Linked DNA regions of Canis lupus familiaris. The protein of the gene in region 7 binds, or shares a complex with, the protein of the main gene of each other region. Links are inferred from orthologs where the notes say so. Each region holds a gene or a part of one and is shown on either strand. Other genes may lie near its edges.

What was found.
Region 1: the proteins of SFN (region 7) and AMOT are in contact, whole or in part, in a crystal structure (PDB 7NPB), measured with the Homo sapiens proteins. The link is inferred for Canis lupus familiaris from reciprocal best matches to the Homo sapiens genes SFN and AMOT. Residues at the interface, in NP_006133.1 of Homo sapiens: Val46, Lys49, Asn50, Arg56, Arg60, Lys122, Arg129, Tyr130, Gly171, Leu174, Asn175, Val178, Tyr181, Glu182, Asp215, Leu222, Asp225, Asn226, Leu229, Trp230; in NP_001106962.1 of Homo sapiens: Val171, Arg172, Ser173, Leu174, Ser175, Glu176, Arg177, Leu178, Met179.
Region 2: the proteins of SFN (region 7) and ANPEP are in contact, whole or in part, in a crystal structure (PDB 7AEW), measured with the Homo sapiens proteins. The link is inferred for Canis lupus familiaris from reciprocal best matches to the Homo sapiens genes SFN and ANPEP. Residues at the interface, in NP_006133.1 of Homo sapiens: Asn42, Ser45, Val46, Lys49, Arg56, Lys122, Arg129, Tyr130, Gly171, Leu174, Asn175, Val178, Glu182, Leu222, Asn226, Leu229, Trp230; in NP_001141.2 of Homo sapiens: Ala60, Ser61, Ala62, Thr63, Thr64, Leu65, Asp66.
Region 3: the proteins of SFN (region 7) and NFKBIA are in contact, whole or in part, in a crystal structure (PDB 6Y1J), measured with the Homo sapiens proteins. The link is inferred for Canis lupus familiaris from reciprocal best matches to the Homo sapiens genes SFN and NFKBIA. Residues at the interface, in NP_006133.1 of Homo sapiens: Glu14, Cys38, Asn42, Val46, Lys49, Asn50, Gly53, Gly54, Arg56, Lys122, Arg129, Tyr130, Pro167, Gly171, Leu172, Leu174, Asn175, Val178, Leu218, Leu222, Asn226; in NP_065390.1 of Homo sapiens: Gly62, Ser63, Glu64, Pro65, Trp66, Lys67, Gln68.
Region 4: the proteins of SFN (region 7) and SIRT3 are in contact, whole or in part, in a crystal structure (PDB 8ANC), measured with the Homo sapiens proteins. The link is inferred for Canis lupus familiaris from reciprocal best matches to the Homo sapiens genes SFN and SIRT3. Residues at the interface, in NP_006133.1 of Homo sapiens: Asn42, Ser45, Val46, Lys49, Arg56, Lys122, Asp126, Arg129, Tyr130, Pro167, Gly171, Leu174, Asn175, Val178, Tyr181, Glu182, Leu218, Ile219, Leu222, Asn226, Leu229, Trp230; in NP_036371.1 of Homo sapiens: Arg99, Arg100, Ser101, Ile102, Ser103, Phe104, Ser105, Val106, Gly107.
Region 5: the proteins of SFN (region 7) and RND3 are in contact, whole or in part, in a crystal structure (PDB 7OBC), measured with the Homo sapiens proteins. The link is inferred for Canis lupus familiaris from reciprocal best matches to the Homo sapiens genes SFN and RND3. Residues at the interface, in NP_006133.1 of Homo sapiens: Lys49, Arg56, Arg60, Lys122, Asp126, Arg129, Tyr130, Glu133, Gly171, Leu174, Asn175, Val178, Glu182, Ile219, Leu222, Asp225, Asn226, Leu229, Trp230; in NP_001241667.1 of Homo sapiens: Asp236, Lys237, Ala238, Lys239, Ser240, Cys241.
Region 6: the proteins of SFN (region 7) and NOTCH4 are in contact, whole or in part, in a crystal structure (PDB 7OR3), measured with the Homo sapiens proteins. The link is inferred for Canis lupus familiaris from reciprocal best matches to the Homo sapiens genes SFN and NOTCH4. Residues at the interface, in NP_006133.1 of Homo sapiens: Lys49, Arg56, Arg60, Lys122, Arg129, Tyr130, Glu133, Gly171, Leu174, Asn175, Val178, Glu182, Leu218, Gln221, Leu222, Asp225, Asn226, Leu229, Trp230; in NP_004548.3 of Homo sapiens: Arg1914, Arg1915, Phe1916, Ser1917, Ala1918, Gly1919, Arg1921.

What each region holds. Positions count from the first base shown.
Region 1 is NC_049260.1:86,471,317-86,475,604, forward strand, and holds the start of AMOT (angiomotin), read right to left. Parts: upstream 2,801-4,288; 5' UTR 2,382-2,800; intron 1-2,381.
Region 2 is NC_049224.1:53,265,553-53,269,481, forward strand, and holds the start of ANPEP (aminopeptidase N), read right to left. Parts: upstream 2,801-3,929; coding exon 2,169-2,800; intron 1,617-2,168; coding exon 1,474-1,616; intron 1,361-1,473; coding exon 1,221-1,360; intron 802-1,220; coding exon 675-801; intron 593-674; coding exon 438-592; intron 216-437; coding exon 102-215; intron 1-101. UniProt on the Homo sapiens protein: Broad specificity aminopeptidase which plays a role in the final digestion of peptides generated from hydrolysis of proteins by gastric and pancreatic proteases.
Region 3 is NC_049229.1:14,263,084-14,267,349, reverse strand, and holds the start of NFKBIA (NF-kappa-B inhibitor alpha), read left to right. Parts: upstream 1-1,466; 5' UTR 1,467-1,594; coding exon 1,595-1,821; intron 1,822-2,401; coding exon 2,402-2,510; intron 2,511-2,853; coding exon 2,854-3,064; intron 3,065-3,349; coding exon 3,350-3,438; intron 3,439-3,569; coding exon 3,570-3,830; intron 3,831-4,151; coding exon 4,152-4,199; 3' UTR 4,200-4,266. UniProt on the Homo sapiens protein: Inhibits the activity of dimeric NF-kappa-B/REL complexes by trapping REL (RELA/p65 and NFKB1/p50) dimers in the cytoplasm by masking their nuclear localization signals.
Region 4 is NC_049239.1:25,731,965-25,735,464, forward strand, and holds part of SIRT3 (NAD-dependent protein deacetylase sirtuin-3, mitochondrial), read right to left. Parts: exon of another isoform or gene 3,464-3,500; intron 2,983-3,463; coding exon 2,794-2,982; intron 2,705-2,793; coding exon 2,472-2,704; intron 742-2,471; coding exon 641-741; intron 1-640.
Region 5 is NC_049240.1:53,561,648-53,565,899, forward strand, and holds the start of RND3 (rho-related GTP-binding protein RhoE), read right to left. Parts: upstream 2,801-4,252; 5' UTR 2,597-2,800; coding exon 2,447-2,596; intron 1,832-2,446; coding exon 1,744-1,831; intron 1-1,743. UniProt on the Homo sapiens protein: Binds GTP but lacks intrinsic GTPase activity and is resistant to Rho-specific GTPase-activating proteins.
Region 6 is NC_049233.1:1,739,106-1,743,255, forward strand, and holds the start of NOTCH4 (neurogenic locus notch homolog protein 4), read right to left. Parts: upstream 2,801-4,150; 5' UTR 2,653-2,800; coding exon 2,595-2,652; intron 1,794-2,594; coding exon 1,712-1,793; intron 1,546-1,711; coding exon 1,253-1,545; intron 1-1,252. UniProt on the Homo sapiens protein: Functions as a receptor for membrane-bound ligands Jagged1, Jagged2 and Delta1 to regulate cell-fate determination.
Region 7 is NC_049223.1:72,665,232-72,668,319, reverse strand, and holds SFN (14-3-3 protein sigma), read left to right. Parts: upstream 1-1,239; 5' UTR 1,240-1,339; coding exon 1,340-2,086; 3' UTR 2,087-2,588; downstream 2,589-3,088. UniProt on the Homo sapiens protein: Adapter protein implicated in the regulation of a large spectrum of both general and specialized signaling pathways. Binds to a large number of partners, usually by recognition of a phosphoserine or phosphothreonine motif.

The DNA.
Region 1 (4,288 bases), on a different chromosome or scaffold from region 7:
TCTTTGGGGGAAAAAAGGAAAAGAAACCTTAAGAGGGGACTAGGAGAGTGTGAGAAACTCCTCTTGTCTCCAAATGGAAAAAAGGCCTTAAAAAGCTGGATCAAAGGAAGAAAGGGGGATGGGGGAGACAGGCTGCTTAATTACAAAGACACCCTTTTAAAGAAGGCACAGGCCCTGGGAGAGAGCTCTTAGGAGAGGCACAGAAGCAGATGTACCCACTTAGAATTCTGGCACTCAATGGGACCTCAAGGTCATAGCATCCATCCCTCTGCGCTCTGAATAGACTGTTCTTAAGGGCATTCTAGAAACAGTGTAATTCACTCTTTATAAAGCCTCAGAAAAAGCAACTCCACAAAGTGCCTTGGGTTTGCATCTGTCTAATAATTCCTATCTCACAAACCAGAAATGACCTTCCAATCTCCAAATCCAAAATAGCATTGAACGCGAATTTTAAAATTTCCTTCTAGAATCTGTTACGTAGGTAAACAGATCCACCACTTTCACCCTAAAAGTGACTCTACAACAAGCATGGTCAGAGATTTACTGCCTATCTAGACTATGAAGTTAGGAAAAGCACTTTCAATTTTACAGAGCCACAGAGTTTTCCAAAGAAAGAAGGATCTTAAAATGAAGTATGATGTAGTGCCAGAAAGTGTCTGTAAATGACACCGGATAAACCCATACAGAATAACTGGAACCTGAGTTATCATCTGTAAATAGACGCAACTACTCTACAACCACCTGGCTATTAAAATGTCCCAGGCCAGTTATAAAATGTAGTTTGGTCAGGCCAACTTTTCCCTCCCAGCTGATCTGAAAGACGATAGCCTTTAAAATTGTCGCCCTGTAACATTCTTTCTCTCCCTTCCTGCTTTGCTTTCCCCCCCGTTAAAATCAACCAACACAACTATTTAAAAATAAAGTGAATGATTTGTTCCCAAACAAGCAATGGGTTGGTGACATCTTGGTAACAGGTCTCTAAATACCACCACCCTTCTAAGTTTGCCACGCTTGCCTGACTGGAGAGAGGTGGGGGGAGATGGGTGAAAATTTATCCTGCATCCAAAATGCTATTTCAAAGTATTGTTAGCTCCTAAATGAAGGTGCTGAAAGGTCTAACCAAGAAAGCTTCACAAAGGCTGGCCCACGAAAGGACTTTTCACAAAACCTAGTTCAAGGAGACTTAAATAACCTTAGCCCTCCATTATTGGAGACTATGGTGACTAATTATCTTCCTCTCTGAATGGAAAAAGGTTATATTCAAAAAAGTTTTTTTTTAATTTTTTTATTTATTTATGATAGTCACACACACAGAGAGAGAAAGAGGGGCAGAGACACAGGCAGAGGGAGAAGCAGGCTCCATGCACCGGGAGCCCAACATGGGACTCGATCCTGGGTCTCCAGGATCGCGCCCTGGGCCAAAGGCAGGCGCTAAACCACTGCGCCACCCAGGGATCCCAAAAAAAGTTTTAAACGCCTCCCAACTTCTACTCTTAACGTAAGGGTGGCAAACGGAAGGAGGAAGGAGAGCTACATTAGACATAACTACGATTCTTTCTAAAACACATGCTAGAGATTGCTAATGCTGTTTCTCACAAACGCCCCCTTTCCTCTCTCATTTAATTGTATCTAGTCCCTTGCTGCAGATGATTATTAAACTACTATTAGTGGCAATTTACCAGACTACAAAGACTGTCACTTTCCCTCTCATTTTTCTTTGTTTTCATATATTGATCGATCCATCCTGCTGCTAACGCACCAATGTACAGTGACCTGGGCTTGGGACCCTCAAGACACCTGCATGATCCTGCAGAAGTCCTTACTAACATCTCTAAAGCAGATACTGGGCAATCCAGTCCTCACCACCATACACGTACACACACACACACACACAGACTAAAAGGAGTGTAGCATGGTAGATTACTCCCAGACTTTAGGACTTCAAGAATTCACAGCCCCCGGCGGAGGGCAGTGTGGGCCCCCACCCCAACTCTAAGCATTTAGGGAGGAACGCATCTTGCAATCTGAGATAAGCGCACACATTCCTCCTTAGTAAATGTAGACCTGAAGTTCCCTCATTCCTTTTTGTGCTTAATCACCTAGGGACCTACAAGGGTCCCAGGAGCAAGGAAGTAAAAGTACCATCAAGTAGTGGTACCCACTAGCATCTCCGTAGGACGGGAGAGGAGCGCACACTCTTTAACCGATTTAAGTTGCTGCTCATCCTGGAAAACTCAACGGCCAGCTGCAAAGAAAGTAGAACACACGGGCATCACCACACACATCTAGATCAACTCACTCACGCCGAGGGCACGATCAAGTTCATGCCACCATGGATTCCTGCCCCAGTTCCCCGCGTAAAGTAACCATGCTTCTCCTACCCCTGAAGGCACCGAAGACAAGGTGACGACTCTCTGCTCGCTCAAGTGGCTTCGGTCCCGGGCCGGAGGCCAGGGATGGGCAGGGGGAAGCCCCAACTCCGGCTGCTCCGCTCCTCACTGCTCCGTCCGGGCTCTCCTTGGTGGCAGTGGACAGGCAGGATACCGGGCCAGAGGGTGGAGCAGCAGATGGTCGGACGCAAGACAGGCTGGAGGTGGGGGCTGGAGGGGGCGGTGAGAACTAAGAGAGGATAAGGCAGAACAGAGAGGAGATGGAGGAATAATAAATCAGGGGGTCTACCAGCTTGGGCAGCCAGAAAGCTCCTCGGAAGGAAGGGGCGTGACTGCGATGAAGGCAGCTCCTGGGCAAAGGATGGGAGGTAGGGGAGGAGGACGAATGGGTGGCTTTTCTTCTTGCGGTGCGCGGCTAGGACCGCCCAGGAGCGGGGGGGAGGAGTGGGAGGGGGTGGACTGGAGAGTGGGGCGGAGTAGAGGGCGGGGAATGAAGGAAGGGAGCCGTCCAGGACCCTGGAGGGGCGGGGGGCGGAAGAGAGGCGGGGCCAGGGGGCGGGGAAGTTTCAAACAATTGAACGGCGGGGTCGAGCCACTCCAGCGAATGCGAAGGGTCCTAGTTCTCGTCCACCCGCTAACGTGGCTCAACGCGCTGACTGGGTCCTGAGAGGCTACGGAAGCGCTGGCTGGGGGGAAAGAAAGGGTTCTGCAAAGACTCCAACAATAATCTACGACACCAGCGGAGGGGAGGTGCGTGGGAGAGCCCGTGCAGCCCCCCGCCCCACAGCGGGAGGAAGAAACACAAATAGAAATGCTGAAAAGCAGCTTCTCGCAAAGCTTGCTCAAAATAATGCAGGAAGGAGCAGCGCTCCTCTGTTTTCCTTCCCTTCTTGCTTCCTATGACCAGCAGGCCCCCACCCAGGTCGCAGCTTTGCGCGACACCCTTCTTTCTTCCTCTGCTGCCGGTAGCCTCCCCGTTCCCACCCCACCCCCGCATGCCCGCCCCCCTTCCCTTTGGCGGGCCGCGTTGGCAGCGGGGACGGTGTGGGCGGGGCTCCGCGGAGTCTCCGCCTCCGGGGCGGTCTGGGAGGGCCGGCCTGGGAGGGGCGGGCGGTGAAGAGTTAAGTCTCACCCGGCGTTCTTTCGCTGCTCCGGATTGGCGAATCCCCGTCCAGGATTCGGTCGGGATTGGTCACTTGCGTCGTCGGTCCGATCTTTTTGTCCCACCCTCTCTCAAAATTAATAAAACTGAACAAGAGACTATTGTCTCGCTCTCCATCTCCCCCCCACCCCCCCGGCTACTGCTGAGCAGAGAAAGAAGAGACGCTAGGTTTCTCGGTCTCCCGAGAGAGTGCGACAGTGTGTCGTCGGCTGGCTCCCGTACACCTTTGTGGCAAGGTCTGGCCCGCTATTCCCAAATAGGTAGCTTTTCTTTCCCCTTAATTCATGAGGCCCGGAGGGGCAAGAAGTACGTCAAGTATCACTGTGGTGTTCACGTTTCCCGGCTGCGAAAAACTGATCCTGCCTGAGAGCACAGACAGTTAAGAACAGCATCCTGGGACACTGAAAATCTACCATTTTTACATCTGGGAAACAAAAGCCCAAAGGAACACTGTAGGGGTAGCAGAATGACACGGAACTTGGAAGGGAGGAACTCACTTTGGACTGTAGCACTTAACAGCCAGTTGTGCAACTTTTTTGAGTCGCTTGACTTTCCCGAGCCTTAATCTTTCTATCTGTAAATAAAAGCTGTAGGACATACCCTATTAACAACATTGGCATATGAAAATAAAATGAAATGTGTGTGAAAACTGCAAACCACAGAGCACTCCACACATGTATGTCTTCCTCCTTGTATATGTCCCATGGTGAACAGTCTTGAATGTGTCCAGGAAAAT
Region 2 (3,929 bases), on a different chromosome or scaffold from region 7:
AATCCCCAGTGGCCATGAGGAGGGACCAACCTGGTGGGGGGTGACCACCGACCCTGCACACAGGGGCCCCCCCTTCCCCCTCCACTAGGCAGCTGGCTCACCAGATTCCAGGTAGGCTCTGCATAGTCAGCGCCCAGGTACTCCACGTAGGAGGCAAAGCCCTCATTCAGCCACAGGTCATTCCACCATTCCAAGGTCACCAGATTCCCAAACCACTGTTGGGGAGGGAAGGTCAACCCAGTTAGCCACTCTGGCTCTGTGACCCAGAACTCCCCTTCAGTGAGCGTCCCCCATGTGCCAGGTGCTGGGCAGGACTCCCCTCTGCTGTTAGTCCAGGGTGGGGTCCAGATACCCAGGACAGAGTGAGGACTTGTGCCCTCTCCTCCCAGAGCCCCCCTGCTCACTTCCCAGCACTCTCTGGGATGGGGGGGTGCTACCTGGTGGGCCAGCTCATGAGCAATCACAGTGACCACGCGCTCCTTGTTGCCGATGGAGGAAGACTGCGGGTCATACAACAGCGCACTCTCCCGGTAGGTCACCAGCCCCCAGTTCTCCATGGCACCAGCATTGAAGTCAGGTAAGGCAATCTGGTCTGGGAGGGCAAGGCCATTGGCAGGATGGCCTCTGGGGAGGAAGCCCCATCCTCTGCCCCCACCCCAAGGCCCCTCACTCACCAGATTTATTGAGGGGGTAGGGTGTGTCATAATGTCTGGAAAAGAAGTCTAGGATGGGGCCTGTCACCCTCAGGGCATAATTTCCATGGCCTTGGTCCATCGCACTTGGCCGAGCCCAGATCCGGATCTGCAAAGACAAGGAAGGTAGGTCAGAGGTCCCTCCTGGGTTCTGGTGCAGATGGGCTGAGCCCCAGGGGCCCAGTAGGCTAGTGAGGGCATCAACTGAGTTAAACTGAGAGCTGTGGGCAGCAGAGGAAAAGGCTGGTGGTCTCTGAGGGGCTTTGAGTCTTAGGGAGGAGGCTTTGGGAATAATAGCAGTCATGGCCACCATATGTCTGGCACCCACATGTTAGGAACACCCCTCATGAGGAGAGACCCATTTTTCAGATGCAAAGACTGAGGGTTAGCATTTAAGACACTTGTCCAAGATCACTCAGAGCTGGGATTCAAACAAATCTGGGGCTTAGATGAAAATGAATTAAAACAAGACTATCTCTCCGGCCAGGACCAATCCCAGGGGAAGGACAGGTGGGCCCAGCTTCTTACCAGGACATTACTGGGCGTGTTCTCCTGCACATTCTTAAACTCGCTAACGATGTAGGCCAGCAGGTAAGTAGACATGATAGGCGTGGTTTCAAACTCAGTGACATTCCAGTTGGGTTCTTCGGTAAAAGGGACACTGGGACCTAGGCATGGAGCATTTGAGCACATAGAGATGCCTCCTCTCCCTTGCCCTGCCTCCTAGCCCTGGAGGTGCCTCCTTCCTAAGGGTGTGTGGCTCCGGGACAGACCCACTCACCTCTGGGCAGCATGTTAGACAGGGCCACAAGGTTGCTGGGGTGGATGAGGGTGATGTTGAACGTGGCCTTCATGGCTGGCTCGTCAAAGCACGGGAAGGATTTCCGGGCATCTGCAGCCTGCATCTGTGTTGTGGCCAGCACCCTGTCCAAACCAGGATATTAGAGCGGGTGCCGGTGGAACGCCTGCACCCGTGAGGGTGAGCAAGGTGGGGTGGGGGATTTAGGGTGTGTTGCTGGGCATGTGGGAGAAGGGGTGCATGAAAGTCCGGTCTGGCCTCATCCCTGCCCTCCCAACTTCCAACTTCTGGATCCTGACAGGCCGCTCCTTTGAGAGATCAGAGTCAAAGTCCTGGCAGGGTAATACAGGTCTCCCTGTATTAGCCGGGAGACCTTGGGCAAGTTTTTCTCCTGTGAGCCCCAGTTTTCCTATCTGTTCAGAGGCTCTTTTACCACTTTCCCCTGACTCCCTATTGCGGGGAATGGGGGCCCCCAGGAGAGGGCTGCTTTCTAGGTAGCCGCTCCACCAGTACCTGTGGACGCAGTCATGAACCAGCAAAAGCCTCCAGGAAGTTCAAAGGCCTGCCAGTCCAAGCCCTCCCTCCCTCGGCCCCCAGGATCCAGCTCTGCCTCAGCATCTAGGACCTGCCCACCCCCCACCTCCCTACCCCCAGGTGCAGACCCAGCCACAACTCACTTTTTGACACCATTCTCTGTATACTCGCTGCGGTAGAAGCCCGCCAGGTCGTCGGCCAGCTCCCCCTCAAACTTACTGTCCATCTCATATTGGCTGTTGACCTGCAGTGGCTCCCGCAGGTGCACCACCAGGTACTCGGTGACCTCCACCAGCTCGGTCCTGTCAATGGCAGGAGCCTGGGAACCCCCCACGCCCCGCAGGGCCACCCGCTGCCCCTGGATGTTGGTGTAGTTCAGCTTCTTGCTGTGGATGATGATCATGCTGGTGGACTCCTTGCACGTGAAGCGAACTGTGCTGGAGCCTTTGAAGGTGTACAGGCCATTACTGTTAGGGGTGAGGTATGGCCTCAGCGTCACGTTGTAGGAGCTCGGAATCAGAGTCTTGGGCAGGCGGTAATGGTTCCAAGGTTTGCTTTGGGCCAAGGTGGTAGCCGCGGTGGTGCTGGGGTTTGTGGGGCTCACCGGGGAGCTCACCGGGGAGCTCACCGGGGAGCTCACTGGGGAGCTCTCAGCGTTCTTGTTTTTCTCCTGGGCATACACCACAGACAGAGCGATGATGGTGGACACGGCCGCAATGCCCAGGACGATGGCCAGGATGCCCAGAGCCTTGGAAATGTAGAAGCCCTTGGCCATGGTGAGGGCAGGGGCGGGGAAGCTGGGGGAGGTTCAGGACGGCGAGAAGCAAGCGAGCCTCGGCCAGACTTATATCCCTGGGAGGGAGAAGGAGGAGCCCCACAGCCCACAGACTGGGCAAAAAATTAACCAGGGCTCACACAGGCAAAGGTCAGTGGATGGGGCAGGGGCACCCTGTGCTCAGGTTCCGGAGAGGGAGGAGATCCAGACACAGCGCGCCGGGGTGCCTGCTGGGGAGCAAACGGCGTCCGGTCATAGGCTGCAGGAAGAGGGTGCAGGGAGAAGGAGCAGCGGGGCCGGGTAGCAGTGAGCCTGCATGCTGTGACAGTGGGGACAGAAGCAGATCAGATGAGGTCAGAGTCAAGGAAGGACTTCCCAGGAGTGGGAGGTGGGAGATGCAGAGGAGAGTCAGTTTCTGGTTTGAGTCAGGTGTGTCTCGGGTCACCCCTATGGTTTGGATCCTGGCAGGACACCCAGGGCTCCTCAGTGGCACGGTCCTAGCCTCCCTTGCGATCTTCCAGGGCAGGAGGTCTCTCCTTCTCATCGCTTCTTGCCAAAAACTTCTATCCCAACTCTCCAGCATATTGAGGAGGAAGAAGATGTTTTGCCTTTTTTTTTTTTTTTTAAGAGAGGAGGCTGGTGGAGGTTTACCCTCTTCCCAGCTGTGAGCTTAGGCAGGTAATTTTACCTTGCTGAGAGCTCTCTCCTCATAAATAGAAAATAGGACTCACCTTTCAGCTTTGTTGCACAGATTTAACAAGAAAATATATTAAACACTACAGAGCAGAACCCAAACACCATTCCCTTCTTCCTTACTCAGAGCATGGCATGGCCTCTTTTCCTATCCTTAGTAGCAATGAAGTTACTACTTATCATACGTAATAAAATAATGTTCAATATCACTCTTCTTATCTAGCAGCCCAGTGTCTCAGACATTGACTTCTATGTCCAATTCTGCCCCCATCCCCTCATCTCACCATGTCCTTGGTCAAAACCACTCTCCTTGTTTATGCAGATACTATCCCCTCATGGACTCGCCACTTCCACTCAGGCCCCCTCAAACCTGTTTGTCACAAGAACTGGATCACTTTTCATCATAGCTTGCTTGCTGGGGCACCTGGCTGGCTCA
Region 3 (4,266 bases), on a different chromosome or scaffold from region 7:
TTTATCTCACTCCCCCGACCCCGGTTCCCTAAATTCAGATAGTCGGGAGGAGTGGAGGGAGAAGAGATGAGCAAAGGGTTGGTTAGTATATGGCCAGTCAAGTTAAGATGATTGCAATATAATCACCAGAAATTTCTGCAAAATTATAAAGCCTCCTGGAGCTAGTTCTGAAAAACTCTGACCTGAGTTGCTTCATTTTGCCTGGACCAATTCTAGAGATAGAAAAATTCTGTTAGAGGCTGGTTGGCTAGGAGAATGGGGGTAGGGTGGGGAACGTAAGTTATATTTCTGCAGGTGAAACCAAAGGATGAGGAGCCCATAGGGGCTATACACAGCGCCTGGAGAGGTCCAACTGCTGCCCTCTCCAGGGCAGGAGAGCAGGGAGCCAGCAAGAGGGTAATGTTAGGTTGGCGGGAGGGTGGCCTTCTGTAGGATGCTTTGCAATCTAAACCATCCTTAAGGCCCAATCTTGGGTAAGGCACTTCTCAACCTATTCTTCAGCCTCTTCCAAATGCTTCTGGAAAGACACCGGCTGGGTACCCAGAAGTAGGCTCTGCAGCAGCACAGTGCAAATCAGGAAACATGACCTCAATAATTATTTTGTTCGTGCAGGGCAGCTAGCTACAACCTCTACTACAAAGATTAACACCTTGCTTTACCTGAAAAAAAGTATGGTCCTGTTCAGCGTTTTCGCTGAACACAGGGCAGAGTGCTTGCCTCTCCACCAGTCAACAGGAATGTTAATCCCGAGGAAATGATTTGAGGGTTCTCCAAGCATTTCAATGCCAAAAAATGCCAAAAGCTTTTTGGCTTTTAATGCCAAAGCATGCACAACTTTTACCTGGTTGGGGGGGGGGGGGGGCCTCGAGGGAGTGCTACGTGTGTCCCCGCGCCACAAAGAGCCTGGCATTGGCAGGGTGGCAGAGGCAGCCGGCGACCTTCTAACCCGCCAGTGCGTCCTTCCCCGCAGAAGTTTGGGGAAGCAAATCCCTACGTCCAGCCATCATTTCCACCCGAGTTTTCAAAAGATCAAGAAACGGAAAGGTTGGCAAACCCCAAGGAGGAACTGCCTGGCGGGTCTGCGTTCATTGGGATCTCAGCAGCCGACGACCCCAAGTCGAATCGATCGTGGGAAACCCCAGGGAAAGAAGGCCGCTTGCAGAGGGACAGGATTACCGAGTGCAAGCTGCAGGGAAGTACCGGGGGAGGGGGCCTCGGTCGGGAGGACTTTCCAGCCGCTCAGCGTTCATCAAAAAGTTCCCTGTACATGACCCCAGTGGCTCATCGCCGGGAGTTTCTCTGATGAACCCGGCTCAGGGTTTAGGCTTCTCCCCCTTCCTCCCCCTCCCGAGCAGAGGACGGGGCCAGTTCTCTTTTCTGGTCTGACTGGCTTGGAAATTCCCCGCGCCTGACCCCGCCCCGGAGAAATCCCCTGCCAGCGTTTATAGGGCGCCGCGGCGGCGCTGGCGAGCCCACAAGAGTCGCAGCCAGCGGTCCTGCGTCCGTGACCCTGCGAGGCGAGGCGAGGCGAGGCGGCGAGCGCGCAGCCCGCGGCCGAGCGCACCTGGGCAGCAGCGCCGAGCCTTCCCGCGCCATGCTGCAGCAAGCCGAGCACGCCCAGGACTGGGCCATGGAGGGTCCCCGGGACGCGCTCAAGAAGGAGCGGCTGCTGGACGACCGCCACGACAGCGGCCTGGACTCCATGAAGGACGAGGAGTACGAGCAGCTGGTGAAGGAGCTGCGGGAGATCCGTCTCGAGCCGCAGGAGGCGCCGCGCGGCGCCGAGCCCTGGAAGCAGCAGCTCACCGAGGACGGAGACTCGTAGGTGTCTCGGGGCGGGCGGGGACGCCGCGCCTGCAGCGCGAGGCCGAGGGGCGGCAGCCGACCGGGGTGTGGGCACCGATCCCCCGTACACCCCTGGCCCCGGGACCGCGCAAAGCTGCCGGCTGCGCTGCGGGCAGCAGAGGAGGGTCGGATCCCGGGCTGGCGGTGCAGCAGCCCTGCGCTGCAGCGCGCACCCCCACCCCCCAGCCCCGGTCCGGAGCCGGTCCTGCCGGCGGGGGCGGGGCGGCGGCGGGGACGCGAAGTCCCCGCTTGCACAAGGGGGGCGGGAGCTCCTGCCCCGCGGGCGGGCGCCGGGGGGCCGGGAGGGGAAGTACAGGGCGTTCCGGCCCGGCGGGAGGGCGGGGCGGTCTGGCCGGCGCCCGCCGAGGAGGGAGGGGGCCCGGAAAGTCCCTGGGCGCCTGCCAGGAACACTCAGCTCATAATAACCTCGCGGAAAACACCGCGGCCTCGGCCTCCAGAAACCCCGGCCTTGCGCAATCCCCCGCAGCCCGCGCCTCCCTGGGCCCCACGCGATGCACTCACCAGCCCTGGGGGTTTTTCCCTCTCTTCCCCTTAGGTTCCTGCACTTGGCCATCATCCATGAAGAGAAGGCCCTGACCATGGAAGTGGTCCGCCAAGTGAAGGGCGACCTGGCCTTCCTCAACTTCCAGAACAACCTGCAGCAGGTGCGCCGGCTCGCCCAGCCCTGTGCCTCTGACCCAGTGATGAAGTTGGATCTAGCTCAGTTGCTCCCAATCCTTTCTAAATTAATAATCACTGGGCATTATGTACCTTGACCTTTTTACATTGGAATCGGCCAACGTCCTAGAGAATAAAGAAAATTCTATTGATTTGGTGAGGCCTATGATGAAAGCCCACCTGCGGCCTCTGGCATTTATCTTGCCCTTCATACCTGTCTGGGAGGAGGAGCAGCACCCACAACCAGTAGATCTCCGGAGTTCAAGGGAAGACAGACTCTTGAGTTTGGGCCATGGCTTACCCTCTTTCTATTCCCTCTTGTGTTTGTAGACTCCACTCCACTTGGCTGTGATCACCAACCAACCAGAAATTGCTGAGGCACTTCTGGAAGCTGGCTGTGATCCTGAGCTCCGAGACTTTCGAGGAAATACCCCCCTACACCTTGCCTGTGAGCAAGGCTGCCTGGCCAGCGTGGGAGTCCTGACTCAGACTTGCAGGACCCAGCACCTCTACTCCATCCTCCAGGCCACCAACTACAATGGTATGTCTGCCTGCCCTACCCTGCCCATCAGAAGGCAGGTGACATGGAGAAGGGAGAGGTAGGCCAATGTTAGGAGTCCAGGCAAGAGCTGAAACTCTGAATACTTGAAAGGTTGAGAAAATATGCATGCAAAAGGTCTGTTTCATGCCTTGATAAAGTTCATTCAGAGCCCAGATTCTGGGTTCTCCAAATTCAGAATTTATTCCCTATAAGAATAGACAGAAAGTTCTGCTTGAGATCTGAGGGTTGAAGCAAGTGGTTATATTTGCTTCATTGTTCTTCTAGGTCACACATGTCTACATTTAGCTTCTATCCATGGCTATTTGGGCATTGTGGAGCTTCTGGTGTCTTTGGGTGCTGATGTCAATGCTCAGGTGAGTTCTTCATGTCTCCAGATGGAACGCATCAGGGCTCCAGGCCCTCCTCAATAAGACCTCACATGTTCTTGTTGCAAGTAGAAATTCCAAACTCAACCATAAACATCTCAAATTCCTTTTGGTTTCAGGAGCCCTGTAATGGCCGAACCGCCCTCCATCTTGCAGTGGACCTGCAGAATTCTGACCTTGTGTCGCTTTTGTTGAAGTGTGGGGCTGATGTCAACAGAGTTACCTACCAGGGCTACTCCCCGTACCAGCTCACGTGGGGCCGCCCAAGCACACGGATACAGCAGCAGCTGGGCCAGCTGACCCTAGAAAACCTTCAGATGCTGCCAGAGAGTGAGGATGAGGAGAGCTATGACACAGAGTCAGAGTTCACAGAGGACGAGGTGAGTGTCAACTCCATCGCTCTGCACAAAGCAGTACCCTCCCAGGTCTCTAGAGCTCCTCTTTATCCAAAGAGCTCAATGCAATGAAGTTCTCCCACTTTAGTGTTCATGACCAGGAGTCTCCCAAAAGTGTGTCTTTGTTTTTTGCTCTTTTTAAAGGAGAGGAGCATTAAAGAAAAACTTCCTTAGCCCCTGAGGTTAATTTATACTTGGGTTATGGAGAATGGAATCCAAGAGTACTTGATAATGGCCCTCACCCTTATCCCAGTACCTTTGACAAAACTGGAAGCTTAACATGGCTTTTTTTTCTCTTGTTTTTAGCTGCCCTATGATGACTGTGTGCTTGGAGGCCAGCGCTTGACGTTATGAGCTTCAAAACATATCTAAAAGAACACGGACTTGTATATTTGTACAAAAAGAGAGTTTTATTTTTCTA
Region 4 (3,500 bases), on a different chromosome or scaffold from region 7:
AATAGTAAGCAAAGCTGTAGTTATTGACACAGACATCCATGAAGTTTTGTTCTATAACAAAGCAGGTTGTAGAACATTAACCCTAATAATCCTATTACTGGGGAGCCTGGGTGGCTCAGTTGCTTAAGTGCCGCCAACTCTTGGTTTCAGCTCAGGTCATGATCTCAGGGTCGTGAGATCAGGCCCCACATCGGATTCTGTGTTCAGTGGGAAGTTGGCTTGAGATTCTCTCTCCCTCTCCCTCTGCCCCTCTTGCTCATGTTCTCACAAATAAATTTTTAAAAATTTCAATAATCCTATTAATTAAAAAAATTGTCACTGTGTAGTGTAAGGATACAGACACAGCCATGTACGTTTAGGTATGCCTTTTTTTTTTTTTAAGGTTTAGAACATTATACACTAAACTGTTAAGAGTGGGCTATAGAAACTCCCTATAGGTTGAAGGGAGATATGTTTTTCCCTACATATTTCTTAATTTTTTACAAGTGTGTATTACTTTTCCAATTTGAAAATAAAGAAAAGCACTCCACAGCTTTACAGTTCTGGTGTCTTCCAATACAATGCTCATAAAATGTCACTATTCCAGATCACTCCCACTGCAAAGTGCAGAAGGGAGAGAACCATCAGCGTGACAACTCACCCAAATGTCCTTCCCTGAGGAGGGTCTTCGGCAGACAGTGCATGTGGCGGAGGCGAAGGATCCATGAGCTTCAACCAGCTTTGAGGCAGGGATCCCAGCTACTGAAATTCAAACCAAAGCTAAGTGCTGCTGGCCCCAGGGTGGGCGCACAAGCCCCAGCGCGTAAACTCTGAACTTGGCAGACCCCAGAGGGAGTCACAGCCTTCAGTGCAAGCCTGGCTGTCCGTGCCTCCCCCACCTACAGATGATGTCCCACTGACCAGAATGAGCATCAGGGATGAGGGCTTCCAGACGGAGCCAAATTACGGTAAAACAAAGCCTGTCAACAAGTTTGCTATAAACTCAGATAAAATTACATTTGATACCTAGGGAAAAATTACCTATTCCATAGAGACCAAGCAAAAGTGAAAAAACTATACAGGGGCACCTGCGTGGCCCAGTCAGTTGAGCATCTGACTCTTGATTTTGGCTCAGGTCATGATCTCAGGGCCGTGGCGTTGAGCCCCAGGCAGGCTTCACACTCCGTGCTCCACGGGGAGTCAGCTTGGGGTTCTCCCTCTCCCTCTCCCTCTGCTCCTCCCCCGATGGGTACATGCACGCGTGCTCTCATACTCTCCCTCAAGAAAACTATATAAAGACAGTAGCTTCCAAAAAACTGCAGAAAAACAGAGGTAACTTATGACAGTTCCCTGTTCCCACTGCCAGCCACTGAGCTGTGGGTGGGCAAGCAGCCCCAGCCACAAGTGGCTTCCACTGTTCCCGTTATTGTCAAAACCTCCATATGCTAAAGCCACAGCCAGATGCTCCCACCTTCCCACAAGGCCTGTCCTACTCCATCTCCAGAAAAGATCATCCCCGTGGGGTATCCACTGCTGCCTATGTAATTCCAAGCTGCAGAACCCTTCTAGCAAGGAATCATTTTCCTGGAGTCCAGGAATGACTCCTTTTTTCAAATCACAAGATGCTAAGTCAGCTCTAACAGCACCCATCAGCAGCGTCGATGCCCATAAGAGAAAGGCTTGGTGAGTGCCTAAGATGCAGCGTCTGTGAACTACTGGTTGTGGCTGTTATCGACACAGTCAGAAACCATTACACATCCTGTTTGATAATACTAAGGCATTAATAGTGGTCTCTCTGTGGACAATGGCATCCTAATTATATTTTAAAAGTCTTGGGGCAGCCCGGGTGGCTGAGCGGTTTAGCACCACCTTCATCCCAGGGTGGGATCCTGGAGACCCAGGATCGAGTCCCATGTCAGGCTCCCTGCATGAAGCCTGCTTCTTCCTCTGCCACTCTCTGTATATGTGTGTCTCTCATGAATAAATAAATTTTAAAAAATCTTTAAAAATAAATATATAAAAGTCTTTATCTTCTAGAGATAACCAGTGAAGTACTTATAGACTATTTATAGATTAAGTTTATGATGTCAGGGATTTGCTTCAAGATAACCAGGGGTGAGAGAAAAGGTGGGGGTAGGAAGACACAGATAAAGCAAGGACTGGCTATGATGAAGGCATGGGGGTTCATTACATTCCTCTCTTTATTTTTATGTGCTCAAAAAATGTAATAAATTTCTTTAAACAAAATCACCCTACCAGCTTCTAGCAAAACTAGAAGCTCCTGATGTCAATTTTAGTTCTGTCCAAAACTCACAGCCCAGCAACTATGCCAGAACATCAGGTCCACCAATGAGATCCCAACAGTGACTCTTAGACACATGGTGCACTTTTTGTCAGGGACAATGGCATCACTAGTTGGCTTGAAATCAACCAGAGGACAGGCACCCAAGCCTTCTGTGCAGAGAGGAGGTGGCGACAGGCGGAGAGCTCACCTCTCTCGAGCCCATCAATATTCTGCGTGTAGAGCCGCAGAAGCAGCCCCTTGTCGTGGAGCAGTCGGAGGAAGTAGTGTATGATGTTGGGCCTGTAGTTCTTAAGGTACAGCTCCTTGGCCAAAGTGAAAAAGGGCTTGGGGTTGTGAGAGAAGAAAGCCAGCTCAAAAACAGCCTCGGGGTATGGGAGGTCATACTGCTGCAGGTTGCTATAGAGGCCGCTCCCGGGAGACCTGCGAAGAGGAGCAAGAGGCTCTGAGCCCTGAGGAAGAGGCAGGGCCATGAGGCAGACCGGGGTGCCAAGGGAGGAGCTGCTGGGCACCTGAAGTCCGGAATGCCGCTGGGCGTGCTGATGCCAGCCCCCACCATGACCAGCACCCTCTGGCAGGCTCTGGCTCGAATCAGTTCTGCTATATCCTGCAGAAAAAGCTTCTTCTTATGGTCACCTCCGCTTCCAAAGATGCTTGAGGTTCTAGTGGAAAAAGATATGGGTCTTCTTCCGCCTGTAATGCTGACAGAAAAAGAGAGTGGCCAGGTGACCAGGGACTGTCAAACTCATGCTAGCCCTCCTACCACCCCCAGCAATGAGAATGATCAGACACCTCCCTCCTGTACCCCAAAATGACCACTTTTCTCATCATGGGTGACTACTGGGCTACAAGAGAAAGAAGTGTCAACTCAGAAATCAAAACTTATTTGGGAGCAAAAAATTCAGATTACTTGGAACTGTGCAAACAAGGGATGTATCATCTCTTAATTCCTGCTATCCAGTGCCAGCACTAAGAGAACAAGGGTCCACACCAAAGGTGTAGGGGCTTAGTGGGGGCTCTGGGTGTGCTCTCTGTAGAGACATATACTGCAGCGTACCCGGGATGTGACAAATACACAGTGACATTTAAAGAAAGCCAATGTCTCAGACTTTACACCAAATATCATCAGGAGGAAAAATGGGTTCTAGAGACCATTCCAGAAAGAAACACTCATGCTCTCACTGCAGTGGGTAGACTCAGCTCAGGTTCTCTCTGCAAA
Region 5 (4,252 bases), on a different chromosome or scaffold from region 7:
AGCACTGACCACATTTTGTTTGTCATCCAGCCTTTGAAAAAACAATATGCCTTTTCTCTCCTAAAAACAAAGTCAATTTAGCCCTTTGGTCGCCTCCTATAAACGCTCCATTGGTGGTCCTCTGACTCAGGAGGCAGGACACAGGGGAGGCATGATCCAGCATTCCTGGGAGCCCAGCCATGCCCCCTCCCGCCCCACACGGGGCTCCTTCCCAAATCTGCCAGGAAGCGGGGGCTCCCTTCAGAGCCCGGCTGGCTCTCTGGGTGGTGCGAGGCCCAGCAGGGGACGCCAGGGCCCCTGGGCCCACCGAGGTCCTGGGAAACAAAAAGACTGGCCGCTTTCGCGTGCAAGGCCAAGGAGTATGCAGCTGGGGGAGGGAGGTCCTGCGCTTTGTCTAGCTCTGCACCCCCCACCCCCAAGGGGACAGGAGACTCAGGGAGGCAGCGATTTGCACACAGAAATCCCCAGTAACCAGTACTAAGAGCTAAACACAGTCGTTGCCTTTTTTTTTTTCATAAACAGTGGATCAGAATCACAGACCCCACTCCTGAATGATTCTTATCCTGCATTGGGCCCCTACAGGCTGGGGGGTGGAGTAGGCCGCGGGGGAGCCCGGCGGCGGAGGGGCCCCGGCGGGAGGAGCCGCAGGAGCAAGGGCGCCTGGCACCTGGGCGCGTGGGCGCTGTGGGCGCCTGGCGCTGTGGGTCACAGCCTCCCGGCCACGTGCACAGCCGCGCGCGGGGCTCCCTGCGGCCCGACCGAGCCGACTCCCCGCGACCCTCGGGGGCTGCGGGCGGCTGCTGGGCCACAGGCGCGTCCCCGGCCTCGGGGCCCCTCTCCCGCCGCAGCCCCGCAGCCGCTCCCCACCCGCTGCGCCCGCCTCCCGCGGCTCCTCCCCCTGCAGAGGCTACACCTCCGGGAAGCGGGATTCCCCCGCCCCCCCCCCCGCCCCAGCTTCCCCGCGCCGCAGGGGGGCCGGGCACCAGCCCTGGGGCCGCCGGGGCCTCCCGCCCGCACCCCCGCGGCCGCCCCGCGCCCGGGACCCGGTGACCCGGCCTTGAACCCCGGACCCCTCAAGATAATTCACCGCGACGCCGAGGATTCAGCGGGACAGGAAGGTCAAGGCCGGCGGAGGGTGATGCAGGGGGGCCGGGAGGGGGGCGGGGGGGCCGGGATCTGCGCGTCCGCACCCACGCGGCGCGGCCGGCCGGCTGCCGGACTCCCGGCCCCGCGCCCCTCCGACCCGCGCCCCTGCGTCCCCTCCACCCAGTGCCCCTGCGCCCCCCGGCGCCCCTGCGCCCCCTCCACCCCGCGCTCCTCCGCCCTCCACCTAGCGCCCCTCCACCCCGTGCCCCTGCGCCCCCCGGCGCCCCTGCGCCCCCCTGCCCCTGCGCCCCCCCGCACGTCCCGGCCGCTCGCGCCCCCGCTGCTGACCCCGCACGCGCTCCCCACACGCGGGGCTGCGTGGCTCCGGGCACTTTGTCCCCCTCCCGGCGCCCCGCGGCCCCCGCAGCCGTCAGCAGGTCGGCTCCCGGAGGGGCGCACGCAGCCCCCCGACCTCGGGCCACCTGGCTGTCCCCTTCGGCCCCACTCCCTCCCCCCGCCCCGCCCCGCCCCGCCCGGCGGGGACCGCGGGCACCCGAGGCGGAGGCGAAGTCACCCGAAGTCACCCGGGGCCGCGGGGAGCCACGCGCTGGGGCCCGGGACCCGCCCCGAGCGCCACGCGGCCCGACGGTCTCTTACCCGACGTGTCCCACAGGCTCAGCTCTATCCTTTGTGTGTCGATCTCAAAACTGGCCGTGTAATTCTCAAACACCGTGGGGACGTAATTCTGGACAGACAGCGGACAGAGGAGGGAGAGAGGGCGCAGAGGTTACCGGAGGTGCGCGACACCCGCAGAGCGCCCTCGAAACCCGCCTCCTCGCTCCCCGATTGGAAAAAGACAAGAAAAGAGGGGGAAAGCCGCACACGCGAGACGGCCGGAGCGACCCCGAAGGCCCCGAGTGCCCTCCGCGCTATGGGGACGCGGCCGCCGAGCCTCCTCCGCGCTATGGGGACCCGGCCGCCGAGCCTCCTCCGCGCTATGGGGACGCGGCCGCCGAGCCTCCTCCGCGCTATGGGGACGCGGCCGCCGAGCCTCCTCCGCGCTATGGGGACGCGGCCGCCGAGCCTCCCCGTTATGGGGAAGCGGCCGCCGAGCCTCCGCGCTCTGGGGACGCGGCCGCCGAGCCTCCGCGCTATGGGGACGCGGCCGCCGAGCCTCCGCGCTATGGGGACGCGGCCGCCGAGCCTCCCCACCCGCCCGCGCGCACCGGAGCCGGCAGGTGTCGGCCGCCGGAGCGGAAGGTGCAGACGCGTCCCCGGGGGCTCGCGGGTCACCGCCCGGCCGGGGGCGCGGGGGGCTCGGGGGGCGCGGCGGGGGGCAGGCGGGGCCCGGCGCGCTCACCTCGGGGAAGCAGTCCTTGGCGAAGACGTGCAGCAGCGCCGTTTTCCCGCACTGACTGTCCCCCACCACCACGATCTTGCACTTCACGTTCTGATTAGGATCCATGATCGATTTACTGGACAATTTCTGGCTGGCCCTTCTCTCCTTCATTGATCTTGCCTTCTTTTCTCTTGGAACAGGAATTTTCTCTTTTGGAGGAAAAAAAAAAAAAAGAGAGAGAGAGAGAGGAGAGAGTTCCGTCTCTCTGGAAGCCGGTCTGGAAACAGGAGGCGGGCGGGGCGGCGGGGCGGCGGGGCTTGGGGGCGCAGGCGACCCTCCCCTCCGCGAGTCTCAGGCCGGCTCGGCGCGCCGCCCGCGTCCACCTCAGCCCGACTGCTTTGTCTCCCGCGCCCGGCGCCGCTTTATAGGCCGGGCCTTCCAATCCTCTTTCTCAATGAGCCGGGAAGCGACCCGCCTCCTGCCTCCGCGGGGCCGCGAGCGGGGCGGTCCCCTCGCCGCGGAGAGCGCGCCCCGGGCGCCCTCTAGGGTGGCCGCGCGGGATGGCGGTGCGCACCGAGCGGGCCGCGGGACCCCGGAGGGGGGGGGTTGGGGGGCTTGGGGGGCGGGGGGGGGGGTCCGGGGGGCGGGGACTGGCTTTTATTAGGGTTCCCGAGCGGGCCGCTTGGCGGAGGCCGCAGGAACGTCGGTGAGAGCCAACGCGCTTCTCACCCAAGTTCAGGCAGCTCAGGCGCCGAGGAAGCAGCCAGTCTCGGGTTGGGAAGGGTTAAGCGCTTGCATTCTTTTTTTTTTTTTTTTTTTAAGGCATGGTTTCTATCACCTATGTAGGCCAGGGAACAATAGTTGAGCCAGGCTATTTCGGATGCGGGAACTGGCCTGTCTGGGTCACAGCGACACAGGGGCTTCCAAAACTGTCACTCAGGAGGAGGCAGGAGGGTTTTGAGGAGTGCCCAGCTGAGGTGGGAACAGGAAAGAAAAAAAGAAAAGAAAAAAGGAAGAGGAAAAGAAAAGCAGAAGATGCTTATAACTGAGTGTGAAAGTCTTGTGCAGTCAGCCCCACTGTCCCAGGAACCCAAAGGTGCAGGGCAGCGGCTGCCCGGTTCCAGGAAGGAGACTGGGTAGGCGGGTGTGCGGCCCTGCCCCGTGTCCTCCCTCCGTAGCCTTCCCTCCCCCAGGATCAAAGATGAGCCCAGATACCACAACTGTGCCCAGCTGGAGAACACAGGTACAGCTCCCTGCTCCCTCTCCTCCTCTCTTCCAGGCGGTCCCCTGACACACACACACACACACACACACACACACACCCAAAAAGGAGGAGCAAAATGGCCACGCATCTGTTGCCTCCCCTATCAGAGGTCCTTCTTTACCATCTGGATCTCCCGTGTTTCCAATGGAAAGGTTTCAACTATTAAACTGTAGTAAAGACATTGGCCAAAAGTCTCATAGGTACCCTTGTTGGAGACTTGTAGGCTTGTAAATGAGAAGGTGAGGCAAAAACCCAGAATGTTCGGTGTGCCTGGGTGGCTCAGGTAGTTCATGGACTGTCTGTGACCCTTCATGACCCTGGGGGCCTGTGACAGAACCTGGCATTTGGCTCCCTGCTGGGGGGGGGAGTCCCAAGGCTCCAAGGTTCCCTCTCCCCCTGCTCCTATCTGTGCTTCTGCTCTCTCTTACTCTCTCTTTCTCTCTCAAATGAATAAACAAAATCTTAAAAAAAAAAAAAAAAAAGGAAAAAAAGAAACCCCAGAATGTTCAGCATGGGGAATGAGAAGGCACTGAAACGGGGCTAAAAACACAGATGTAAGTATC
Region 6 (4,150 bases), on a different chromosome or scaffold from region 7:
GCCACTGCAGGCAGGAGACTTAGCACTGCTGTGCCACAAGGCTCTGCACCCTCAGACGGTTGTCTGGCCTCTCTTGTCTGGGTTCCCTAATCTTTAGGTGGCTACAGGGTTCCAGATAGTGATAAGGAGCCGCACCTCTCAGCCGTTTGCACCAGTGGCAATGGCGGTGGTGGCCCCTGGCACTGAGCTATGTCAGTGCCTCCTGAGCATCGCTCCCTTTCCTCCTCTCAATGACCTTATGAAGTGTGGACATCAGCTGACAACCAAGGACGTAGAGAGTTAGTGCAAGGGCACAGGTCTCATCCATGGTGAGCTGGCACCCAGACCTGGGGAAGGGCTCCCAGAACCCCTGCTCCAAGCACAGGGCTGGGCAAGTTGCCACTGTGATCCTTCTTGTCACACAGCCTGGTCTCTCACCCCCAAGTCCTCAGAATTACCTGGACAGTTAAAAAGTCTCCATGCCTGGGCACAGCCCAGACCCACTAAATCAGCCTCTCTGGGATGTGGACATCAGTATGTTTAGGGCTTTCCAGGTAATTGCTGTGCCTCAGCAAGTTTGAGGAGCTCCCTTCTAGTCCACTGCTCACAGAGCACTTCCCTACCCATGTGGCCTTCACTGCCCTGTCCAGTCCCCTCCGTCCTGGTAGGTCAGAGGAGCCTTCCTCTCCTGAGGCCCTTGGCTGTTCTGCACCCCTGCCTACTTCCTCAGGCTAGCATACCCTGCTCCTGCCACCCCCCCCACTCTCCCCACATCCTTGCCCCAGGGCTGCACCCTTCTTCCCAGGATTGACACCCATTCCTCTCTCTGGGTCAGAGCCCTTCCACCCTCATTACACTTCCCACCAGCACATCTATCCAGGTGCTGCTCTGGGCTCCCACTCCTCAGAATAGAGACCATCCAGATGACCATAATGCAGAATCCTGGAGGTTCCCCTCCCCCACCTTGTGCTGGGTATGTTAACACCCTCTGGCTGCTGGACGGAGGGGCCAGGGAAACAGGCCAGGGTGGTGCACCAAAAGGGGCTATGGCAGGAGACATTTACGGACAAGTTTGGAAAGACTTCAACATTTAACCATCGGTGCAGCCATGCTGGTGAATGTCAGTCTCAGGTAAATCGTCAGCAAGAGTCAGCTTCTTGATTCGCACAGCCTCTGTCCTCAGAAGGGCTCCCTGTATCTCAGACTCCAGCTCTATCTTTCCCAGCCAGCTGCTCCTGTCCCCCCCCCACCCCGCTTCCCCCTCAGTGCTCACCTGTCCATCCAGGCAGGCAGGAGCACTGTGGGCGGCCTGAGGCCTGGATGTGGCAGCGGCCCATTTTGGAACAGAAGGAAGAACAGGGGTCCTTGAGCAGGGTCTGGCACCTCTGGCCGGTGAAGCCAGAGGGGCAGGTGCAGGAGAAGCTGGGGGCCAAGGGAGAGGGAAGGCCAGGGGAGCCTGGGAGGGCAGGAAGCAGGGCTTGGCAGCTGCCCCCATTCTGGCAGAGCTGGGCATCCTGGCAGGGGTCGGGAAACTGGCAAGTCTCACCCAGGAAGCCAGGTGCACACCTGAGCAGGGGAGGAGAGAGGACAGCTTACTCACTGGGCCCTCTTTGCCTTCTCTCCCACCTCCCTCAGAGCCTTTACTTCCTCTCTTTCTCCTTCCTTCCCAGTCCCCCCTCCACCCTGCTCTCCTTCCCCGTTCCAGTCTCCCAGTCCCAGGAGGCACACTCACTGGCAGGTCCCTTGTCCCTGAGATAGGCTCAGGCAGGTGCCTCCATTGGCACAGGGTTCTGGGGAGTCCCCACACGGCAGCACTAGGGATGGAGATGAGGATGGGATGGGCCTGGGGAGTACTGTGCTCCCCATTTCCCCCTCTGGGTGCTCTGGAGGGACCTGCCTGTAGCAGCGGGACGCGTGCTCTCTCGGACCACTGCCTCTGTTCCTGGTCCCCAAGTGGTGCTCTTGCCCCAGTGGCCCCCCCCCCCCCGCCCCCCCAATCCCAGGCCCAGGCCTCTAGATCCTCTTGGCTATTAATCCCCACCCCCTTTCCTGTTTATCCTCTGGCCTCCCAAGCCCAGGCCTCCCAAGCCCAGCCTCAGACTCCATCCCGGAAGCCCTGACAACAGGGCTCAGGAGGGGGCCCTGGGGACTCCAGGAAGGTGAATGGCTGAGACGTTGAAGGGATTTCCTCCCGGAAGAGCCCAGCATTGAGCCATCGGGGGTGGGGACAGCTGGACCGGGAAAGGGACTTGGTCCTAGAGCCCTTGACCTTCCCATGTCTCCATCTCTTGCTTTCTTGTCATCGCCTCCCCTAGCAGGTGGTCAGTTTTTTCCCTCTTCACCTCCTAAACGCCATCTCAAGAGCCCCCTGTCCCAGCTGGGTTCTCTCTGGGAGCGGGCACCCTCCTAGCCATTCCTCTGACAGTTACCGCCCCTGGCTCAGGCCCCAAAGCCTGTTTGTGCAGCTCCGGTGGCAGAGTCTGCTCTCCCTGCATTGGGCAAGGGGGTGAAACTCTCCTCCATCCAGTGTCCCCTCAAAGCACCAGGCTTGGCCCTCTGCCCCCAACCCTCTTAAGGAAGGTGGGTCCCCTCACTCTCCCACCCCATTGCCTCACCTCTGGTCTTGACAACCGAGTGACACAGCAACAGCAGCAGCAGAGAAGGGGGCTGCATTCCAGAGCCCCTGCCCCAAACCCAGATCCCCTCCCACCTCCTCAGGAAAGGACTCTCAGAGCCCTCACTGGGGCAGGAGCTACCTCCCCTGCTCCCACAGCCCCTTCCTCCTCCTCTGCCTGAAGCAAGCCTCACGTCTGAGCTGTTTCCTGAGTCACACAATGTCCTGGACACCCTAGTGATGGGAGGGGGAGGAGTGGAGGAACATTGAGGGGGATGAGGGAGGGGCCTTCTGTCCCCAACAACCCCTGGGGACCGGAGGAATGGGACTGTGTGGTGGTAGGGCAGGTGAGAGGAGGGGAGCACAGGGCTTGGAGTGAGGGGGCTCTGGGTTCAGCCCCAGCCCTTCTGTTGTGTGGGCTTCCCTTTCTAGAGATGAGAATAGCAGGGTGGCTGCCTCTTGCCCTGGGATGGTCAGGACCTGGAAACAGAGGTGAGGGGTGCTGAGACATCTTCTGCTCCAGGTCCGTATCCAGGCTGCTCGGACAATCTGCGACTTTCTGTACATTGAAATCACTAACCTTGGCAGAGGGAGCCCAGGGTACTTCTGGCCCTTACCTTAGCCCTTGCTGGGAACTTAGTTTTCTTCCTTTGGGGAATGGGGAAGATACTAGGCTGATTCTGGGGGAAATCTTGGCCTGCCTTTGTTGGGGAACATGTAACCACATCATCAATGATAAATGAACATTGTCTGTACTAAAATCTGCAGTCCGGATTACCCACAGAAAACACTACATTTGGATATGTTCCCCTTCCCTCCCTCCACCACAGAGAGCCCTAGGATGCAAGAAATGCCAGTATTTTATTTTTATTTTTTTAAAGATGTTATTTGTTCTGTGAGAGAGCACCAGCAGTAGGAGGGGCAGAGGGCAAGGGAGAGAGAATCTCAAGCAGACTCAGCTGAGTGCAGAGCCTGATGAGGGGCTTGGTTCCACAACTGTGAGATCATGACCTGAGCTTAAATCAAGAGTCAGATGCTCAACCAACTGAGCCACTCAGGTGCCCCAGGAACGCCAGATTTTGATTTCAAAATTGGAGTAAATAGAGACACCTGGGTGGCTCAATCAGTTGACTGTCTGCCTTCGGCTCAGGTTGCTATCCCGGGGTCCTGAGCTCTCCCTCTGCCTCCCTTTCTTCCTGTGTGTCATGAATAAATAAATAAAACCTTTTAAAAATTGGAGTAAATAAAATGACAAAAGAAAATTCATTGCCTTGACTCATCCTACCTTTGTGAGTCAACCCAAGATAGTTTTGGCGTCCGTCACACACTGAGTTCCTCTAGTAGCACCTAAAGCTGAGAGTCTGGGTGACAGGAGGTGTCATCAAAAGCCATGCATAGCCCCCAGCACTGCAGTGCCCAAGGCTGCAGCCTGGTGTGCCTGGGATACCTTCCTTTTTAAAAACCTTTTTATTTGGAAATAACAAGCTCACAGAAAAGGGGCAAGAATATAATTCCAGGGTAGTTTTCATTCAGAATCACCAATAGGCATCATGATCA
Region 7 (3,088 bases):
AAATTTCTGAGAGGCAGACTGGGGGAGGCAGCACTCACCTGGTACTGCTACCCTATAAAACAAAATGGTATGTGTCACCGCCACCTTCTTTATCTTGGTCCTGTCTCTCTCTCCAGGTGCTAGCGTCCCCCTTGGGGAACCAAATTGGGCTGAGCACCCAAGTGGCCTGCTTCCCAGCCTTTGACAGAAGGCAGGCTGAGTCAGGCAGGAGAGCTGGGCCCCCACCCTGTGTGAGCCCCACTGATACATGATGGCAGGCGGCTTGGAGGGGGTAGGTGACCTGGCGTGGAGAGCCAGAGGGTAGGTCCTCAAACAAGTGGTAACAGGCCACCAACTTGAAAGGGAAAATTGTGCTGTGATGGGGAAGGTGTCCAACAAACCTACTGGATGACTAATTACAAAGGCTGGGCTGGAGCGTCAGGGGCCGCTCATTAAATACCTCATTAAGTGGCACCCTGAACGATGCCACCTGTGCATTCTGGGACCTCAGAGGGAACCCTGAGGGGGGGTGATGACCAAGGGAGAGAACCATTTCAGGTAGACTCCGGAAGAAGCCTGGATTTCACTTCTAAATACAGTCTGGAGCTTACAAGTCAGAGGCCTTGACGAGAGAAGCCAAAGGAAGTAGGATACAGGGGATTTATTAGCTGTGTGACCTTGAGCAAATCTCATCCCTCTCTGAGCCTTAGCATTCCCACCTCTAAAGTGGGAGTAAAAGTCATAGTCTGGCCCATCTCACAGAGACATAGTAAGGATTCAATCCAATCGTGGCTGTGAAGGTGCTTGGGAAACTACAGCCCTACCTAAACATAATTATCTCACCCAAACCAAGGTGGAAAATGTACCTGGTAGGATTAAGAACCCCATCCTCCTGGGTGCACCTGTCTTCATGCGCTCTAGCCAGGCTGAAGCGGCCACTTGGTTGAAGCCATCCCTGGCCCCTGGAAGAACACCATGAAGGAGGATCTGATTTGAGAAACTGGGGCATCTGGGTGGGCACTCATGGAATCAAAGCACCGAACAAGAGGGGGCAGCCTGGAGCTTGGAAAGGTGTCCTGTGCAGGTGGGGCCGACGCCCGGCGGAGTTCTCCCGCAGACTGAGCCCCGATGACTCACCCTACATCCCAGCCTTTTACCTTTAAGGAAGAGCCGGAAAGGGTGTGGGGAGAAGACCAGAGGGAGGCAGGTCCCGGGCCCCAGCCCCGCCCTCGGTCCCTCCCCACCCCTCTCTGGGGCCAGACCTTCCAGCCAAAAGGCAGGCAGAGAGCAGGAGAGGCACAGAATCCGGCATCGGTTTCAAGGCAGCCAGTTAGCCCGCCGCCTGTCTGTCACCAGAGCCATGGAGAGAGCCAGTCTGATCCAGAAGGCCAAGTTGGCAGAACAGGCTGAGCGCTACGAGGACATGGCAGCCTTCATGAAGAGCGCCGTGGAAAAGGGTGAGGAGCTGTCCTGCGAAGAGCGAAACCTGCTCTCGGTGGCCTACAAGAACGTGGTGGGGGGCCAGAGGGCTGCCTGGAGGGTCCTGTCCAGTATCGAGCAGAAAGGCAATGAGGAGAGCTCGGAAGAGAAGGGCCCGGAGGTGCGAGAGTACCGGGAGAAGGTGGAGACCGAGCTCCGGGGCGTGTGTGACACGGTGCTGGGCCTGCTGGACAGCCACCTCATCAAGGAGGCCGGGGATGCCGAAAGTCGAGTCTTCTACCTGAAGATGAAGGGCGACTACTACCGCTACCTGGCCGAGGTGGCCACTGGTGACGACAAGAAGCGCATCATTGACTCAGCCCGGTCCGCCTACCAGGAGGCCATGGACATCAGCAAGAAGGAGATGCCACCCACCAACCCCATCCGCCTGGGCCTGGCCCTGAACTTTTCTGTCTTCCACTACGAGATCGCCAACAGCCCCGAGGAGGCCATCTCACTGGCCAAGACCACCTTCGACGAGGCCATGGCTGACCTGCACACCCTCAGCGAGGACTCCTACAAAGACAGCACCCTCATCATGCAGCTGCTGAGAGACAACCTGACGCTGTGGACCGCCGACAACGCCGGGGAAGAGGGGGGCGAGGCTCCCGAGGAACCCCAGAGCTGAGCCGCCCACCGCGCCCTCCCCGCCGCGCCCTGCCCTCTCCAGCACCCCGCCCGCCCGTGGCAGAGAGGACTAGTGTGGGGTGCGAGGCCCGACCCTCCTACCCCAATGCTCTGCCTCCTGCTCACGAGAGCTCCGAGGAGAGGAAGCAGCAGAGCTGAGGCCGGCTAGGGCCGGGGGACTCGCTCTTCCTGCCGCTGTCGGGGCCCGCCCACCCCTGCTCTCCGCACCCCTCCCCGAAACCCCACCGCCAACCGGGCCACTTCCTCCCCCTCCTGCCTCCCTCCTGCCCCCCGTTGCCTCTGAATCTTAGGAATTGAGGAGTGTCCCACCCTTGTGGCTGAGAGCTGGACTGTATGGCAGAGCCTGGAGATGAGTGTGTGTGTGTGAAAGAGCGAGAGCGAGTGAGAGCACGAGTGAGAGCGCGCAAGACCCGGATGAAAGGGAAAGCATGTCTGCTGGGTGTGACCCTGTTTCCTCTCAATAAAGCTCCCCTGTGACACTCCTCCTGTCTCTTCCAGTTATTGGCGAAGCGATGGGACAAGGACTGGCTTATGATTTAGAGACCTTGACTTCTGATTTAGGGCCTTGACCTCTCACGGGGCTGGCTCAGGGACCCACAGGCAAGACTCTGGAGCCAGTGACCCCAGGTGAGAGGCTGGGGGGCAGGAGGTCCAGCTCTCCATCAGGGTGGCCCCCAGCAAGCTGGTCTGGTCCCGGACGGTCGGGGGAGCGCAAAGGCGGCCCTAAGGCTGCTCTAGGGCTGCAGGGCGGGGGGCTGAAGAGTCCAGATCTGAGGGGACAGGAAAGCCTCTCAGGTGTGAGGTCCGAGCGACAAGGACAGGTTGTAGTGAGCCGCAGCGAGCACCCCGGCCTTGAAAGCGAGTTAGAGGCCCATCCAGTGCTCAGATCTGAGAGGAGGGGAGCACAATCTGGGTAGAGGCTTGCGCCGCCATTAAAAGCCCGTATCTGAGAGGGGATGCCCCCGCCCCCAGCGCTCCGACT